Linked DNA regions of Saccharomyces cerevisiae S288C. Changing the gene in region 2 together with the main gene of any one other region gives a genetic interaction. Each region holds a gene or a part of one and is shown on either strand. Other genes may lie near its edges.

The links.
Region 1: mutations in MAE1 (region 2) and POS5 impair growth when combined (synthetic growth defect), as found in Saccharomyces cerevisiae (2 studies listed by BioGRID, with this or other methods).
Region 3: mutations in MAE1 (region 2) and OCA6 together harm fitness more than expected from each alone (negative genetic interaction), as found in Saccharomyces cerevisiae (2 studies listed by BioGRID).
Region 4: mutations in MAE1 (region 2) and IDH2 together harm fitness more than expected from each alone (negative genetic interaction), as found in Saccharomyces cerevisiae (3 studies listed by BioGRID).

What each region holds. Positions count from the first base shown.
Region 1 is NC_001148.4:188,975-193,970, forward strand, and holds POS5 (NADH kinase), read left to right. Parts: upstream 1-2,431; coding exon 2,432-3,676; downstream 3,677-4,996. Other genes in the region: GUP2 (putative O-acyltransferase), read left to right, coding at 180-2,009; MF(ALPHA)1 (Mf(Alpha)1p), read left to right, coding at 4,674-4,996. UniProt on the Saccharomyces cerevisiae protein: Phosphorylates both NADH and NAD(+), with a twofold preference for NADH. Anti-oxidant factor and key source of the cellular reductant NADPH.
Region 2 is NC_001143.9:381,307-387,156, reverse strand, and holds MAE1 (malate dehydrogenase (oxaloacetate-decarboxylating)), read left to right. Parts: upstream 1-2,431; coding exon 2,432-4,441; downstream 4,442-5,850. Other genes in the region: transcription factor TFIIE subunit TFA1, read right to left, coding at 1-1,399; DNA-binding transcription repressor IXR1, read left to right, coding at 5,299-5,850. UniProt on the Saccharomyces cerevisiae protein: NAD-dependent mitochondrial malic enzyme that catalyzes the oxidative decarboxylation of malate to pyruvate.
Region 3 is NC_001136.10:581,333-585,512, forward strand, and holds OCA6 (protein-tyrosine-phosphatase), read right to left. Parts: upstream 2,134-4,180; coding exon 1,459-2,133; downstream 1-1,458. Other genes in the region: RRG1 (Rrg1p), read left to right, coding at 1-452; RTR2 (putative protein-serine/threonine phosphatase), read right to left, coding at 576-1,166; DOS2 (Dos2p), read left to right, coding at 2,381-3,313; ubiquitin-specific protease DOA4, read right to left, coding at 3,607-4,180.
Region 4 is NC_001147.6:577,847-582,764, forward strand, and holds IDH2 (isocitrate dehydrogenase (NAD(+)) IDH2), read left to right. Parts: upstream 1-2,403; coding exon 2,404-3,513; downstream 3,514-4,918. Other genes in the region: GTPase-activating protein BAG7, read left to right, coding at 718-1,947; SIA1 (Sia1p), read right to left, coding at 3,967-4,918. UniProt on the Saccharomyces cerevisiae protein: Performs an essential role in the oxidative function of the citric acid cycle. Also binds RNA; specifically to the 5'-untranslated leaders of mitochondrial mRNAs.

The DNA.
Region 1 (4,996 bases), on a different chromosome or scaffold from region 2:
TAGTTGTTTATGGAAGGTACCAATGGTGAATATGGAAAAAATGAAGTCAAATAGAAGAAGAAAGAGAAGCTAGCTTTGAGGTAGGTACTGTTTTGAGGGTTTTTGGGTGCTTCAAATTTGTCTTCTCAACTACCTTATTATAGGGCTCAAAAATAATTGACGTCATCGCTACAAGTCAGATGTCGATGTTAAGAATCTGGAGTTGCATCGTACATTTCTTTTCCGTGCAGGCACTTGATTCACGAATAAAGCCAGACATTGAATTCAAAAGGCGACAAAGGATATTTATCAATTCATCTAAAGAAGAGAATGGTTCATCTTCTAGTGCCGTTACTGTTACCCGTAACCCTGTGCTCAGCTCTAATAGCCCATCTCCTCCGCTATGGAATACATGGGAATTTAGACTATATTATTTGGCGTTCACCGTAGTAGTTCCTTTCATGATAAAGGCGGCATTGGCTACGAGCTCCGAGTCTAATCCAAACTACTATAAATTCAGCGGACTGCTAGCCCATGGTTGGATTCTGGGCCGCAAAGTGGATAACAGCGATCCTCAGTATAGGTTTTTTAGATCCAATTTTTTTTTGTTGGCCATCTTAATATTACTACAAATTATATTAAAAAAGGTTTTTGTTAAATTTAGTAAAATTCCGAAAACAAAATTCGATTTTGCGTGTGGATTAGTTTTTGTCTGTTTCATGTACGGGATCAATTCTGTTAAGCTCTTTACGCATGCTTTTATTTTCTTCACTTTGGCACATTCGCTAAAGAGAAAGCGTTTGATAGCCGCTTTTGCGATTTGGTCCTATGGTATCTTTACACTATTCATCAATCAAAAAATGAAAAATCTCCCCTTTAATAATATTGCTATCATCCTAAGTCCCATGGATCAATGGTATAAGGGTATCGTTCCTCGATGGGATTTTTTTTTCAATTTTACATTATTGCGTTTGTTAAGTTACTCCATGGATTTTTTGGAAAGATGGCATGAACAATTGAGCCGCCAACCTTCGATAGATTACGATGATAGACGACCTGAATTCAGAAAAAGTTTATCTGGTTCTACTCTACAAACCATTTATGAGTCAGGTAAGAATGTTCTGGAGGAAAAGGAACGACTGGTAGCAGAACATCACATCCAGGATTACAACTTTATCAATTTTATCGCTTATATTACTTACGCGCCATTGTTTTTAGTGGGCCCAATTATCACTTTTAATGACTACCTTTATCAATCAGAAAATAAGCTTCCTTCGCTAACGAAAAAAAACATAGGCTTCTATGCCCTCAAAGTATTTTCGAGTTTGCTTTTGATGGAAATTATCCTACATTATATCTATGTGGGTGCAATAGCAAGGACCAAGGCATGGAACAATGATACACCCTTGCAACAGGCTATGATCGCGCTGTTCAACTTGAACATTATGTATTTAAAACTTTTGATCCCATGGAGGCTCTTTCGGCTGTGGGCCATGGTCGATGGTATTGATGCACCTGAAAATATGCTACGATGTGTGGATAATAATTATAGTACAGTGGGATTCTGGAGAGCCTGGCATACAAGTTTTAACAAGTGGGTAATCCGTTACATCTATGTTCCATTTGGCGGGTCCAATAACAAAATATTAACGAGCTTTGCCGTATTCTCATTTGTAGCAATATGGCATGACATCCAATTACGAGTGTTGTTTTGGGGGTGGTTAACAGTCCTTTTATTATTAGGCGAAACCTACATTACTAACTGTTTTAGTAGATATAGATTCAGAAGCTGGTACAGGTTTGTTTGCGGTATCGGTGCTGCAATAAATATTTGCATGATGATGATTATTAATGTCTATGGATTTTGCTTGGGTGCAGAGGGAACGAAGCTTCTATTGAAGGGCATATTTAACAATTCACATAGTCCGGAGTTTTTGACTGCGGTAATGGTAAGCCTATTTATTGCTGTTCAGGTAATGTTTGAGATTAGAGAAGAAGAAAAAAGACATGGCATCAACTTGAAATGTTGATCTAGTTATTAGATAAGCTATGAAAGTCAATCCTTTTAATCGAGAATGTAAATATGTGGAATACACAATTTTAACCAAAGTACTATATATGCGTTACAAGTAATTTAAATTTAAGTTCACCGAAGTAAAACTAACTGCAAGATTGTTACAAAGAACAATGCACTATTTAAATCACACAATGGCTATTGAAAACTGTAACTGTCAGAAATGCTGCATGTATCTATATGCATCACTAAGTTGCGACTTTTAAGAAACTTCCACAGTTCTCAACTCTTCTTTGTGCTTTTCACACATTTTCACAATTTTCCGAAATCTCCAAATTGAAAAAAAAATAAAAATAAAAAAAGGCAGGAGAAGACTAAGTATTCATTATTCGCTGTTTCATAAATAAAAGGATAAAAAGGTTAAGGATACTGATTAAAATGTTTGTCAGGGTTAAATTGAATAAACCAGTAAAATGGTATAGGTTCTATAGTACGTTGGATTCACATTCCCTAAAGTTACAGAGCGGCTCGAAGTTTGTAAAAATAAAGCCAGTAAATAACTTGAGGAGTAGTTCATCAGCAGATTTCGTGTCCCCACCAAATTCCAAATTACAATCTTTAATCTGGCAGAACCCTTTACAAAATGTTTATATAACTAAAAAACCATGGACTCCATCCACAAGAGAAGCGATGGTTGAATTCATAACTCATTTACATGAGTCATACCCCGAGGTGAACGTCATTGTTCAACCCGATGTGGCAGAAGAAATTTCCCAGGATTTCAAATCTCCTTTGGAGAATGATCCCAACCGACCTCATATACTTTATACTGGTCCTGAACAAGATATCGTAAACAGAACAGACTTATTGGTGACATTGGGAGGTGATGGGACTATTTTACACGGCGTATCAATGTTCGGAAATACGCAAGTTCCTCCGGTTTTAGCATTTGCTCTGGGCACTCTGGGCTTTCTATCACCGTTTGATTTTAAGGAGCATAAAAAGGTCTTTCAGGAAGTAATCAGCTCTAGAGCCAAATGTTTGCATAGAACACGGCTAGAATGTCATTTGAAAAAAAAGGATAGCAACTCATCTATTGTGACCCATGCTATGAATGACATATTCTTACATAGGGGTAATTCCCCTCATCTCACTAACCTGGACATTTTCATTGATGGGGAATTTTTGACAAGAACGACAGCAGATGGTGTTGCATTGGCCACTCCAACGGGTTCCACAGCATATTCATTATCAGCAGGTGGATCTATTGTTTCCCCATTAGTCCCTGCTATTTTAATGACACCAATTTGTCCTCGCTCTTTGTCATTCCGACCACTGATTTTGCCTCATTCATCCCACATTAGGATAAAGATAGGTTCCAAATTGAACCAAAAACCAGTCAACAGTGTGGTAAAACTTTCTGTTGATGGTATTCCTCAACAGGATTTAGATGTTGGTGATGAAATTTATGTTATAAATGAGGTCGGCACTATATACATAGATGGTACTCAGCTTCCGACGACAAGAAAAACTGAAAATGACTTTAATAATTCAAAAAAGCCTAAAAGGTCAGGGATTTATTGTGTCGCCAAGACCGAGAATGACTGGATTAGAGGAATCAATGAACTTTTAGGATTCAATTCTAGCTTTAGGCTGACCAAGAGACAGACTGATAATGATTAAACGCTCTGAATGCAAAGATTCAATGAGATTCTCTAAGAATTCTATTGATAAGATTTAAAGGTATTTGACAAGTAGAGATCTTTATTTTTTCTTGCATTTTGTCTAGAGAAATCTCAACTGACATACTCGACATGAAATTTTTGGTATTGTGTCTTTTATTCTATTGCTTTAAGAAAACTGTGACATATAGGGAAGACATGCTTAACAAGAAGATATAATTATATAATATATATATTATTAATAATAACATCCTTACTGCAGTCCTGTTGTGGGAGAAAATGGAGAGAGACTATGTTTCGTATCAATTCCTAAAATCAAAAAAAAAAAAAAAAAAAAGTTAAACAAGCACTCGCTGTTCATTTGTTTTACAAGTATTCATACTCTAATAGGTCATTGAGCTTCTTTTCTTGAGGAGAGATCCAATTTGAAGTCGGAATAAGATTTGCTTTCATTAGCGTAGGCAATAATTATGAGATAAATGGTGCAGCACTATTAAGTAGTGTGGATTTCAATAATTTCCGAATTAGGAATAAATGCGCTAAATAGACATCCCGTTCTCTTTGGTAATCTGCATAATTCTGATGCAATATCCAACAACTATTTGTGCAATTATTTAACAAAATCCAATTAACTTTCCTAATTAGTCCTTCAATAGAACATCTGTATTCCTTTTTTTTATGAACACCTTCCTAATTAGGCCATCAACGACAGTAAATTTTGCCGAATTTAATAGCTTCTACTGAAAAACAGTGGACCATGTGAAAAGATGCATCTCATTTATCAAACACATAATATTCAAGTGAGCCTTACTTCAATTGTATTGAAGTGCAAGAAAACCAAAAAGCAACAACAGGTTTTGGATAAGTACATATATAAGAGGGCCTTTTGTTCCCATCAAAAATGTTACTGTTCTTACGATTCATTTACGATTCAAGAATAGTTCAAACAAGAAGATTACAAACTATCAATTTCATACACAATATAAACGATTAAAAGAATGAGATTTCCTTCAATTTTTACTGCAGTTTTATTCGCAGCATCCTCCGCATTAGCTGCTCCAGTCAACACTACAACAGAAGATGAAACGGCACAAATTCCGGCTGAAGCTGTCATCGGTTACTTAGATTTAGAAGGGGATTTCGATGTTGCTGTTTTGCCATTTTCCAACAGCACAAATAACGGGTTATTGTTTATAAATACTACTATTGCCAGCATTGCTGCTAAAGAAGAAGGGGTATCTTTGGATAAAAGAGAGGCTGAAGCTTGGCATTGGTTGCAACTAAAACCTGGCCAACCAATGTACAAGAGAGAAGCCGAAGC
Region 2 (5,850 bases):
CATCATCACCATCATTTGGTTTAGCGTTTGCACTCGGACCTGAAGCAGTGGCAGTAGCATTTACAGCGTCTTCAGTCTTATCATTAATCGATTCTTGTTTTACGTCGTTGGAGGTGTTTGATTCTGTCTTTGCGGTGCCAGCTGTATCCGTTACGTCTTCAAATTCATCTTCCAATGCATTTTCTCTAGCAGTTTCATCGTTATCATCCATAACATCTTCCATCTCTTCTTCCTCTTCTTCTTCCTCATCCTCTTCTTCTTCTTCCTCCTCCTCTTCTTCTTTATTGAGCTTTGCTTGCTTTTTAGCCAAAGCAGCGTAGTAATCATTCAACGTCTTTTCATTCTCTCTTTCTTCCATTTCTTGCTCGGTCAGAGTTCTGTTATTTTGATAGGATGTTTCCTGTGCAGGTTCATTATCAGGATTTATAGAATCCATGGCAGATGCAGTAACTACAGGATCGAACTCCTCTTCATTATCCAGTCTACCAAGAGCAGTTTTACCGATGGTACTCTGTTTATGCCATTCAGGGACAGCGTTTTGTTTTCTTTTCTCTTCAGCCTGTCTCTCTTGCAATTCCCTTTGAGCCACTTCATCACTTGCCGTGGTAATGTTGATGTGTAATGTGGCTTGAGAGTTAGCACCGGCACGTCTACTACTGTCGTTACCAAGAGCAGTACCCATAAGATTTGGCAATGGAGCAGAATCTCCCGGTCTGAACATGGTGCTGCCTTTCTTTGGATTGTACGTGTATGCTGCATGTGATTGATTTTGAGGTGGTATCAAGCGAGCCAATGCAATTTCGAAAGTATTCTCCTCAATTCTTGAATCATCAATCTTTTTCAAAGAATCAATGATTGGCTGAATTTGGTCCATTAACCTATTTAATTTATCTTGCTTCTCTTTGTTTTTTTTACCAGAATCATCTTCCACCAACGGTTCATCACATAGGGAACATAAAAATTCTGTCCTATCAAAATTCAATAATTGTACAGCTTCCAATTGTGTGTACTTGGTCAAACAAATCGGACACATGTAACCATTAGGTTCTGAATTTTTGTCCAAGTCATCCTTCAATCTTTGTACGACTTGATGGACCTTCCATTTGATTGCGTCAATAGCATGAGGATATTTTACATAGTAGTAAACTCTTTCCACACTTTTTGAGTTTGGAGGGTATTCTCTTTGTTTGTGTATGGATATTAACCTGTCTGATCTTAGTCTAGCAATTAGCGGCCCCAGTTCCGTCTTATTTATGCTCAACAATTGTTTCAAGTCATCTTCAGCTAGGACCGAGTGAAATAGTATAGCATCGAGTACCAGTACAAAGGAGCCACCATAAAACCCCCTAACGACGAACTTTAAAAGATTTTTCACAATATCATCTATAGGTCTATCCATACTCTACTCACTGCAGCAGCTGCTTCCAGTAGTTTTCTATCTTTGGCTCGATTAGGACGAGCAATCATGCTGCCAAGTTTACACTTAATTAGCTTTTTTCCTAATCTTGCAAGAACCGCTTAGATAATCACTACACACGGTAACGCTTAGTAAAAAACCAAAAAAAAAAACCAAGTATTATTACGTATTAACTCACCAGACTACAATAGTAACCTGAAATTCGCCCATGGTACAATTTACACTTCCAAATTTTTTTGTTTTTTTATCATTTGGACATCCTTTGCCCTTCACCCAGTGTCAATCATTACAACAATTATAGCGATTCATCACAGTGCAAGGATCACTCTTAACGAAGGAAGAAAAGTTAGAAAAATTTCTCATATGTTTCGCGTTTATTTTCGATACCAATTCGTTTCGATGTGTGCAAATTGAATATTGCATCGTGCATTGCAAGGTTTTTCAAATTCTTGCGTCTTGTCAACCGTTCAAGGCGATTGAAAGATATTCACTGCATATCTTCTTATACGAAAAGCATCGAAGAAAAAACACCCATACAACCAAGTATAGACGGAACAATTCGGGTTTTTACTCTTCCCTAGGCGGTTTAAATCGGATATATGAAAAGAAATCAAAAAAAAAAAAAAAAAAAAAAAAGAATTGGCGCATTTGAAGTTTTATTATCGTACGCGTTATTGTTTGCGCTAACATCGCATCGCATCAGCTGACTGAGTGACTGAGTCCCCTTGGCTTCGACTCATCATCGCCTTTCTATGGTGAAAAATTTTCGCAATTTCCTATTACTGTACCGCGTATGCTCCATTTGACTTCCTTTGGTCTACAGCTTTAGCGCTATAGAGTTTCGAAGTCGTACCCGTTACCGGCATGATTGACATATTATATATATATATATATGCGTATCTTTATACTTACTCGTATATTGTGTCCAGCTTCGGATATTTGTGCTTTTGAAACCTACAACTTTTAACGAGTTTAGTGCACATAAATACCAAGACAAAAGGTAGAAATACGGTTATGCTTAGAACCAGACTATCCGTTTCCGTTGCTGCTAGATCGCAACTAACCAGATCCTTGACAGCATCAAGGACAGCACCATTAAGAAGATGGCCTATTCAGCAATCGCGTTTATATTCTTCTAACACTAGATCGCATAAAGCTACCACAACAAGAGAAAATACTTTCCAAAAGCCATACAGCGACGAGGAGGTCACTAAAACACCCGTCGGTTCTCGCGCCAGAAAGATCTTCGAAGCTCCTCACCCACATGCCACTCGTTTGACTGTAGAAGGTGCCATAGAATGTCCCTTGGAGAGCTTTCAACTTTTAAACTCTCCTTTATTTAACAAGGGTTCTGCATTTACACAAGAAGAAAGGGAAGCGTTTAATTTAGAAGCATTGCTACCACCACAAGTGAACACTTTGGACGAACAACTGGAAAGAAGCTACAAGCAGTTATGCTATTTGAAGACGCCCTTGGCCAAAAACGACTTCATGACGTCTTTGAGAGTACAGAACAAAGTCCTATATTTTGCATTAATAAGGAGACATATCAAGGAATTAGTTCCTATCATTTACACCCCAACCGAAGGTGATGCTATTGCTGCCTATTCCCACAGGTTCAGAAAGCCAGAAGGTGTGTTTTTAGACATTACCGAACCTGATTCCATCGAATGTAGATTGGCTACATACGGTGGAGACAAAGATGTAGACTACATCGTTGTGTCGGATTCGGAAGGTATTCTGGGAATTGGTGACCAAGGTATCGGTGGTGTACGTATTGCTATCTCCAAATTGGCATTGATGACGCTGTGCGGTGGTATTCATCCCGGCCGTGTGCTACCTGTGTGTTTGGACGTCGGTACTAACAACAAGAAACTAGCCCGTGACGAATTGTACATGGGTAACAAGTTCTCCAGAATCAGGGGTAAGCAATATGACGACTTCTTGGAAAAATTCATCAAGGCCGTTAAGAAAGTGTATCCAAGCGCCGTTCTGCATTTCGAAGATTTCGGTGTTAAGAACGCTAGAAGATTACTAGAAAAGTACAGGTACGAATTGCCATCATTCAACGATGACATTCAGGGCACCGGTGCCGTCGTGATGGCCTCGTTGATTGCTGCTTTGAAACATACCAACAGAGACTTGAAAGACACCAGAGTGCTTATTTACGGTGCCGGGTCTGCGGGCCTCGGTATCGCAGATCAAATTGTGAATCATATGGTCACGCACGGCGTTGACAAGGAAGAAGCGCGCAAGAAAATCTTCTTGATGGACAGACGTGGGTTAATTCTACAATCTTACGAGGCTAACTCCACTCCCGCCCAACACGTATACGCTAAGAGTGATGCGGAATGGGCTGGTATCAACACCCGCTCTTTACATGATGTGGTGGAGAACGTCAAACCAACGTGTTTGGTTGGCTGCTCCACACAAGCAGGCGCATTCACTCAAGATGTCGTAGAAGAAATGCACAAGCACAATCCTAGACCGATCATTTTCCCATTATCCAACCCTACTAGACTACACGAAGCCGTTCCTGCCGATTTAATGAAGTGGACCAACAACAACGCTCTTGTAGCTACCGGATCTCCTTTCCCACCTGTTGATGGTTACCGTATCTCGGAGAACAACAATTGTTACTCTTTCCCAGGTATCGGTTTAGGTGCCGTACTATCGCGTGCCACCACCATCACAGACAAGATGATCTCCGCTGCAGTGGACCAACTAGCCGAATTGTCGCCACTAAGAGAGGGCGACTCGAGACCTGGGTTGCTACCCGGCCTGGACACCATCACCAACACTTCTGCGCGTCTAGCTACCGCTGTGATCTTGCAAGCACTCGAGGAGGGAACCGCCCGTATCGAGCAAGAACAAGTACCGGGAGGAGCTCCCGGCGAAACTGTCAAGGTTCCTCGTGACTTTGACGAATGTTTACAGTGGGTCAAAGCCCAAATGTGGGAGCCTGTGTACAGACCTATGATCAAGGTCCAACATGACCCATCGGTGCACACCAACCAATTGTAGACGAAGCATAACCAACGCCTGCACTTAAAAAAAAAAAACCATATAGAGTAATATATAAATATATATATTTGTACAATTTTTTTCTTTATTTTTAAAAAAAAAATAATACTTGACATACCGTAATAATAATAATAATAATAATAATAATAATAATATAATAATAATACAATAATACAATAATAAAAACAATAACAACAGCAACAATAGCACAAGAACATTAACCCAAGCAACTAGCAATAACAAGAACGGTAATTATCAAAACAAAATATGATACCAAATGCGGAAAAAATCGGCACATATCCATAAAACATACACATCGTGCTTAGCGATCTACATACCGTGGAGGAATGGGTGGAACGGTTACTGACGACGGCCGCGCGGGGTTTTGTGTTGGGTGTGATGTCCGGATGCAACAGCAGCAAAGGAGAGGCGCAGCGGACCTTCCTTACTTTCTTTTTCTTCTTTTCTTTTCCACCTCCCCTTGGTGAGAGAACGAATGGGAACAAAAAAAAAATGCACACATCAGCTGGTGGAGCCAAGTATAGACACGGCCCGGCGCATTCGTTCTCTCTCTCCTTCTGTCTCTCGTTCTCGCTGTAAATGTGGTTTACTTCGTTATCCTCTGTACCGTAATCGTACTGCATTGTATTCTGTTTCCTCTACTGCTAGGTCACTGCCTAACAGCTACTGCTACCGAGACTGTGACGCTGAAGTTTATTCGCTCTGATATCCCACAAAGAACTCTATTACACACAGACAAGGCAAGGCAACGCAAGTCAAGGCAAGACCACAACTATATCCCCTTCTTCTATCCATTCTGTGATATACGTACGACGCTAACAGTACCCACAACTGCAATGAACACCGGTATCTCGCCCAAACAGGACGACGCCTCTAACTCCAACTTACTCAACATAGGCCAAGACCATTCGCTGCAGTATCAGGGTCTCGAACACAACGACTCCCAGTACAGAGATGCTTCTCACCAGACACCTCACCAATACTTGAACCAGTTTCAAGCCCAGCCTCAACAACAACAACAGCAGCAGCAGCAGCAACAACAGCAACAACAACAAGCGCCTTATCAAGGTCACTTCCAGCAGTCGCCTCAACAACAACAGCAAAATGTTTATTATCCACTACCTCCACAATCTTTGACGCAACCTACTTCGCAGTCGCAACAACAACAACAGCAACAACAACAACAACAGTATGCTAATTCGAACTCAAATTCAAACAACAATGTTAATGTTAACGCGCTACCTCAGGATTTCGGTTACATGCAACAAACCGGATCGGGCCAAAACTATCCGACGATCAATCAACAACAATTTTCCGAGTTTTACAACTCCTTTTTAAGTCATTTAACTCAAAAACAGACAAACCCTTCTGTCACGGGTACAGGCGCG
Region 3 (4,180 bases), on a different chromosome or scaffold from region 2:
ATTCTCAGAAAAATATCGATAATCTCAATTTTTGCGAAATTAATGCTGCTTGGGCATTACATGAGGCCATTTGGGAGGAATATCTAGAGTCGAAAAAGATTATTAAAGTAAACTTACCGAAATACTTGGAATACGCTGCAAATATCCCAAAGTCTACTAAATGTAATCCTTCGAGTCAATATCAGAAAGTTAAAGAATGGGTAGATCCCGTGAGAGAAATAATGTTCGAATTACATTCCAAAAGTTTTCAAAGAGTGGAGTACTTTAACAAATATAAGGAAAAGCTTTTAAAGAACGGTGGCCAACTAGCATATTTTGATAAAAAGTCAAAAGAAATGTACGCCAAACGGTTGACACTATTCAGAAAAATGAGCAAAGAAACATTACCATATGTGACACTCTTTATAGAAGGGAGGGACTTGCCAAGTGTTTTGGCGAAATACGGTTTTTAAGTGCAAAAGTTGCGTGAATCAGAAAGTTTAATAGAAAATTTACTGGTTACTTCCATTTCTATGTAAATAGTCACTCGTATGACCGCGATAAGGATCCTGATGAAGACGATTTAATTATACTTCCTATTCTATACAGGTTTCCTCATCAGTAGTCAACTGTCCAAAGTACACATCCAATGGTAAAGGCTCATTCTTGTAGGTATCATCAAACTCAAGATCCTTGAAACTCGTTATCAGCGATTTGACGGTATCTATAGGTACCTCACTTCCAACTAATTCTTCTAAAAGGCTTACCGAGTACATATCATCAAACTCTAGATTAATGTAACTAGTTAAATGCACGCCTCGCCTTTCATGCAGAGGCGTTTGTGATAACTGTCTCATTAAATACAACGAACATTTACTGTGATAATTATTACAATACATTGAGTGGATAAAGAAGCCATCAGATGAATTTTCTGCCGCACTCTTATAGCATAGCGGGTACCCACATATTTTCTTTCCCCTTCTTGCATTAATAACATCCATATAAGACATCGGTGAAAGTAGCCGTGCTAAGTATTTTAATGTCTGCTCATTTTCGCAAAATGATTCTGTGAGCATTGAAACTATGGCAGATTCAATCATTCGGGCTTCCACTATAGATAATTGCTCATGTAATTGGTGTGATCCTAAAATTACTTTTTGAATGAACGTAGTGGTTATTATCTGCATTATGGCTTGCGTTGCTCCTGTCCTTCTAGTATAAAAATAAACCTATCACTTTTCTTAAATATGCTGCAATTTTTCCAGAATGCCTCCTTGCTGTTGATAAATGGCTTCCAATCTTCGCCAATACTAGAATGTGACCGGCTCGTCTCTTTTGTAAAGTCGATGTAATTTTCGTTGGACTTTTCAATGGCATTTGATATTGAAAAAAATGATTATCAATGCTGGAGGGCCCGGCTAAGACTTAACCCTGAAGCTTCTGTCTTTACAAAATATTATATGAATTTATCCCTGAATTTTACATACTATGAAATTTTAGTTTTGGCAAAGAATTTGACACGCTACTTACTCTTGCAACTTTTTCAGACGCATTAGCATCATCAACACGCAACTCATCTTTTGATTCTGTGGCTGTCCTTGCAATATATCGCACGGTAATCCAGGGAACTTTATCCTTTATATCCAGATCGTCAACTTCGATTTCAGAGTTAAAGTTTTCAATGAAATTTCTTTCATGAATATTGATGCTGGAATTATACACCAAAAACTCATTTAGTATGGATACCGTACTCCAATATGAAAACTTTCTCATACATGCTACTACGAGAGATATTATCAATTCACCATTCGTACAGTGCATATAACAGGGGTAATGCCCTTTATCAATCAGAAATTTAACGCATCGTACTACAACATCGTATTCAATAGGAACTGTTTTCTTTTTCCTTTTAATCTTGGGTTTGGTCTTGTCTGCCTTTCTTTCACTTTGACATTTTATATGAATTGTCTTAATGTTATTTTCTTCACAAAACTTTACCATTAGAGGATCAGTGCTCAAAGGTTCTGGTGTCAAAGATAATATGTATTTCAATCTAAGGGTTCTCAGGAATGGGAGATTGATTTCTCGTGGGTAAGATCCTCTATATAAATTTGGCTGTACAGTCGAAAATTGTAACGGAGTCACTAGTGTCATTTTGATACATATAGCTTATTCTAGATGTGTGAACTGGGTATTCATAGCAATTGTGAACCCATAGTTTATATTGGTACTCCTTTCCTTCTTAACAGAGTCTCTTTTTTTCTTTCGCATTTTTTTTGGCCTTACATCAAATAGCGGTGATTAATGATAAAAAGCACTTAGCAGAAGTCATGCAACAAAAAAAGAACACAACATAAGGGTACAGCTAGTGAGCTCCATTGCTTCGACGTTTTAGGATAAAATGGAATTCTTTTATGAAGAACAAGTAGCTTGTATCGAAGATGATAAAATAAGCAACTCTCATACCAAGGAAACTGGATCAACAGAAAACACTGAAAATAACGAACTTCAGAGCCGAGATGACAAAACAAATGAGGCCTTCCAAAAGTTAGAAGAGGAAGTCAATAAACGATATGAAAAGACTACAAGTGCATTCAAAAAGTTAGTAATCGAGAAAGATGACGGAATTGAAATTAACTTGCCAATTAGCAATGAAACTACAGAGACTGCACAAAAGTATTTGAAGAAACTAGACGAGAATATTCACAGCGTGGAAAGTCTAGCCCAGTCATATTGGAGCAAAATGAAAACTAAGAATTTTTGGTCTGGCTTCAGTAGCTTCGATAATGCTGCAGAAAATGACTCTAATGACAAGGATGAGAATTCGAAAGAAAATGAAATTGCTGTGGGTGGAAATAGAACAGAAGCCGAACTAAGGACATTATCTAAAGATAAATCGGTTTATTTAGACAATAAAATGGATTTGCAACTGGACCCGTTTGACGTGGATGAAAAAACTGAGGAGATATGTTCTATTTTACAGGGCGACAAAGATATCTCCAAATTAATGAACGACATCGTACCCCATAAAATCAGCTATAAAGATTTCTGGCACATCTATTTCTTACAAAGAAACAAAATTCTAGATAAAGAAAGTAAAAGGAAAGAAATATTGTCCAAAAAGGAAAAGGAAACGGAGGAAAAAGAAGTTGAGTGGGATGACGAAGAAGAAGAAGAAGATGATGACAAAGTAGAAGCAGTAGCTGACAACAAATCTAAAGGGGAGACGAAAGTTGCTGTGTCTCAAGAGGGATTGAAAGATGTTAGTGACCATGTTGGCCTCGCCAACAAGGATGAGAGCAAGGACGACGACGACGATGATGACTGGGAATGAGTGATTTTTTTCATATAAAAGATATATGTAATGCTATAAATATTTACATACTTTTCATGACGTATTATGGTAGAAAGGAAAATCATCAATCCAAGAGATGCACAGGAGGAAGACAAAATCTGGGCGTGATCTCATCTTTACACCTTCTAAAAAAAAGTTCGTTTGTTACCGTTAAAATAAATCATTTGTATTTAGGGTTTTTTACTTTGACCTTAGATGGAAATAATGATATGCCATGTTGAACGGGAAAAAAAGTGTATAGACAACGGTTTTCAGTTATTTATTCAAATGAATCAAACACCGTAGACGCGGTGATAAAACAAAACGTATGCATTAGAGTTAATTGCATCGGCTTTGTTTTTGACAGGTTTATATTTGGTATCATCAAAATATAGCCATCCCTTCTTTAATCCCTTTTTCACATAGGCTGTATAATGACCACCATACAAAGTACCAAAGTGGCATGCTACACCATATAATTCATACTTAAAAGGTGGTATTTGTCCCCTTATTGGTAGTTCATCGTCATTAACACCTGGAGGAAAAACCCCGTCAAAATCATTGGCCCAAAATGGAGTCAAGTCCAACAAAAAAGGGTATATGACGAAGTCATTATTTTTGTTTAATAAATTATCAAATCTCTTTAAATGGACTATCAGATTCCTCGGTAATCTCGTTATTGTCAATTGTTTCGTGGAGGGCTGCCTTTTTTCACAATGTGGGCACAACCATTGCTCATCCACTTCCAAGTTCTCACATTTGGTGAACTCTCTGAAACAATCTTCAATGGTAATATTATTTCGGGAATTTTTTTTAGGAATAGGGATTGACAGCACCGTAAAAGGTTGGTATGTTGTCGAGGTATGA
Region 4 (4,918 bases), on a different chromosome or scaffold from region 2:
AGAGGGGGAGGAACGGCAACTTCTTGACTATTACGACGTATCACCACCCCGTTAGATATACTATGGAAAAAACTATTAAAAACCATTATAATTCATTAATGACATCGGTCCTGAGGTAGTATTACGTATAACTTACCTGGCTCTTGGTCATAGCTTTTTATCCGTTTACGAAAAAAGGAGAAGAAGATTGGGCTTCCGCGGCTATTGTTTGGTTTATACCCCGCCGTATGTTGGTGCTTCTATAATTAGAGCGAAATAGGAAATACAAAAAATCCTTGGAGGGGAGGACCAGCCTCATCGGGCTAAAACTCCCTCAAAACCGGAGGGGCAACCAAAGTATATATCTCATTATGGCCGATACTTCTAGAGGCGCACTAACAGAAGCACCTCAGCCCCTGCAGGTGAAAGAAAGAGGTAATTAATTTTCCGGTTACTTACTTTCTCTCGCTATTGGGGAAAGCGTTGGTTCGAGGCGTTGAGGTCGAAGACAATCATTGTTTTCTTCTTATTTAAGTACATCTTTAGAAGAAAATTACACAACTGGAATGAGTAAATCAATACTTGCTTTGTGTTCCCATTGTTAGATACTCTTGTTTTAGCATGTGATAGCAGTATATAATATAACCTGCAAAATAATCGAAACGCGTACACAGGAAAGAGTACATAAATAACCATAGTATATTTCTGGACATATCTTATTACACAACATAAAATAGAATGTTTAACATGAATCTACTTTCTACACCTTCTTCTGAAGAGGGTTCTCCACAGAATAGGTCATCTTCAATGTCTTCTGTTGAGGGCAAGAAGGATAGGGACACCTTTACTAATTTGCAAAACGAATTTGATGGTAAAGTATTTGGCGTCTCACTCGAGGAATCACTGAAAGTTGCTCAAGAGGAAGTAATTATCCAAAAAAGTACAAATGAAATTGGTTCCATACCGGTGGTAATAGCAAAAAGTGGGAAATACCTAAAAGAGAATGCATTAGACACAACAGGAATTTTCCGTATTGCGGGAAGCAATAAACGTGTTAGAGAGCTACAAGCTGTTTTCTCTAAACCGCCCGATTATGGTCGTAAATTTGAAGGATGGTGTGATTTCAATGTTCATGACATTGCAACTTTATTAAAAAGATATTTGAACTCATTAAGTGAGCCTTTGGTTCCCCTAGCATTATACGACATTTTTAGAAATCCAATATTAGAAAACCCAAAAATAAATGAGCACAAAGAACAAATCATTAAGGACTACGAAGATATTTATATGCTCTTACCACAACAAAATCGCCATTTAATACTTTATTTAGCCGCGCTCTTGAATTTATTTGCAAGAAATGAAAAGAAGAATTTAATGTCAGCAAGCAATTTAGCGGCCATCGTACAACCCTCACTTTTGTCTCATCCCAAGGATGAAATGTGCCCGAAAGAGTATGAGGCTTCCAGAACTGTCATCGAATTCCTCATACTACACGCTTCAGATATAATACCGAATACGGAAAAAGCGAATAAGGACACCATGCCGCATGCAGGAACAGTAGCAAAGTTTAACAACATTACCGTTCCTGAAATGGCTATTGACTCCGATGAAGAAGATTTTGTGCACCCTTCAATAGATGACCATATGCTTCCAAGGTCACGTGCACTTTCTGACTCCAACAATTTTACCATACATCATCATCATCATCATCATCATGCACTGTTTCCTAGCCCAATAGATTTTGATAACAATGGGCTTTCTGTACCGAGATCCTTTAAAGGTAGAACATTGAGTGCAGAGTCCCTTTCTCCCAGACTTAGTAAATTACTTGGGAACGTTGGAAACAGCAGCAATACTGGCATCAAAGACCCTACAGAAAGAGTTCCTAGAGGTGAACATAAAACCAAACACAAACAACGACAGTCATGGTTGAGAAGACTCACTAGCCCTTCTAGAACGCAGCCTTAGCTTCCTAAGCACTGTGATCTGCTAGTCGATTCCGAGGTTCGGCGAAGAAATTGTCGTTGCCCCGCCAGGGGCCTTTTGCGATACTCGGCGCTTCTTTCAGCAATCTCGGTCCGCATCTCGGCAAGGGGGGGCATGACACGGGCCGCTCTGGTTGGTCAGTTCCTATTTTCTGTAACTTCCATTGTTTGGTTAAAGAATATATAAGTTATTGAAAAGCTCATAGGTCCCTTATTATAGGCCCTAAGGTTTTAGTTTCTCATCATAGTCATATCAGAAAAACCCTCCTTCTAAAGTTTTCCTCTTTTCTTATTTCTTTTTCATTTATTATTCATATTTATATAAATATATATTCCAAGTGCATGACATTATTGGATACACTTTTTCTGAACCTGAATTACCTTGGTAGATAATAAGATACAGATCGGGAACGAACAACAATTATAATATTTTTTAATAATGTTGAGAAATACTTTTTTTAGAAACACCTCGAGGAGGTTTTTGGCTACTGTAAAGCAACCTTCAATCGGAAGATATACCGGCAAACCTAACCCTTCTACCGGCAAATACACGGTCTCGTTCATTGAAGGTGATGGTATCGGACCTGAAATTTCCAAGTCTGTAAAGAAAATCTTTAGTGCAGCAAACGTCCCCATAGAATGGGAATCTTGTGATGTTAGCCCTATCTTTGTCAACGGATTAACGACCATTCCTGACCCTGCCGTACAATCTATCACAAAAAACCTGGTTGCACTAAAAGGTCCACTAGCTACACCTATTGGTAAAGGTCACAGATCTTTGAATTTGACATTGAGAAAAACATTTGGGTTATTTGCCAACGTTCGTCCCGCAAAGTCTATTGAAGGTTTTAAGACCACTTACGAAAACGTTGATTTAGTTCTTATCAGAGAGAATACCGAAGGTGAATATTCTGGTATCGAACACATAGTTTGCCCTGGCGTTGTTCAATCTATTAAACTGATCACAAGAGATGCCTCTGAGCGAGTCATTAGATACGCTTTTGAATATGCAAGAGCCATCGGCAGACCAAGAGTTATTGTGGTACATAAATCTACTATCCAGAGATTAGCTGATGGTTTATTCGTTAATGTTGCCAAAGAACTATCCAAAGAGTATCCTGACCTTACTTTAGAAACTGAACTTATTGATAACAGTGTGTTAAAGGTGGTCACCAACCCATCTGCTTACACAGACGCTGTTTCTGTTTGTCCAAATCTATACGGTGATATCTTGTCCGACTTGAACTCTGGTTTGAGCGCCGGTTCTTTAGGTTTAACTCCATCTGCCAATATTGGTCATAAAATCTCGATCTTTGAAGCTGTCCATGGCTCTGCCCCTGATATTGCCGGTCAAGATAAAGCGAATCCAACTGCCCTACTTTTATCTTCAGTAATGATGTTAAACCACATGGGTCTAACGAATCATGCTGACCAAATTCAAAATGCAGTATTGTCTACTATCGCATCAGGTCCAGAAAACAGAACAGGTGACTTGGCTGGTACTGCTACTACTTCATCATTCACTGAAGCAGTCATCAAGAGATTATAAAAGTCCTATTCTTTTCCCTCTCAGGTTTTTTCACGCCTTGAAAACAAATGACTATCCGTTTAATATAATGATTTCTGAAAGATTATGAAGTAAAAAAAAGCAAAATGCTTAGATATATAATATATACATACAATAAAAATTCCGTATCTACTCCAAACTTCTATGGCTTTGTCCTCAATGTGTTCTGATGTTTATTTAATAGCCTGAAGTTTTTATTAAGTATGTATACTTTTCGATATTTATTCTTTTAATAATGCTACAGGAGACCATAAGTGATAACTCAAAATGTCCCTCAGTGGACTTGTAAACCAAAAAAAAAAAAAAAGAAAAAGAATTAAATATATTATGTGTAAAAAGAAAACACCACCGTGTGTTATGTATATTTTGTTTATGTCTATCTATCATCTATCCTGCTGGCAGTCAATGTTCACCTTACAAAATTAATCATTGAAATTATTGCTTCCCCTTATAGATGTACTGATAATCGTAAACCTCGTCAACAAGATTGCTATTCCTCTTCCACGAAGTTATTTCGTCCAAAATATCATCCAAGTTAAATAATCTAACGGTTGGATATATACCTTGGATTCTCGGCAAGCCTATACCAGCGGACCCACCGTAACATAACCACATCTCATTTTTTGACTGTAAGCAACAGTCATTATTATGTTCATGTCCGCAACTGACACCCTTTATATTCCAAAGACTCAGGATATCAAGGAAGCTTTTGTAATGTTTGCCATTGATCGTCATTGAAACTTGTCCTCTAGACCTTGGCGTATCTACTGTTAAGGTAGACCTCTCATTATACTGCCCAATAATAGGAAATAAACCATGAGGCCTATATTCCGATAATGGAAAATATTGAAATGCCAAGCCAAAGTCTATTTTCCCAATCAGGTCGTTATAATCTTGTAGGAAATTATTGACGGGCGCAAATGAATCAAAGACGAAAAATAAAGCCTCTGATGGGTTTGTTTCGTCTTCGGTATCAATGTCTCTTTCCAAAAGAGTATTCTTCGTGAGCTTCTTTTTAAATGAGACTTCTATGGCCATATGACCCTCTTCTGATGCAACGTTGTTAAATGTGTAAGGTAAATTCCTGATAAAGTCTCTAATTTGTGCCGATGTGGCCAAATTGGATTCGTCAGAAACACCCAATGAAATTGCGTAGGGTATTTTATTAGAAATCATTGGTTGGACAACTTTCATAATGCACGTTTGATAGTCGATAGTATTATGTGAGTCTAACAAATCACCTGTGATCACAACTAAATCAGGGTTTTCTGATGCGAGTACCCTATCAATAAAATTTACTGTTTTTATTTCATTGATTACGGTCATGCTATTATCCGTACATTTGAAATGAAAATCAGTTATTTGGAGAATTTTGAATGATCTTTGT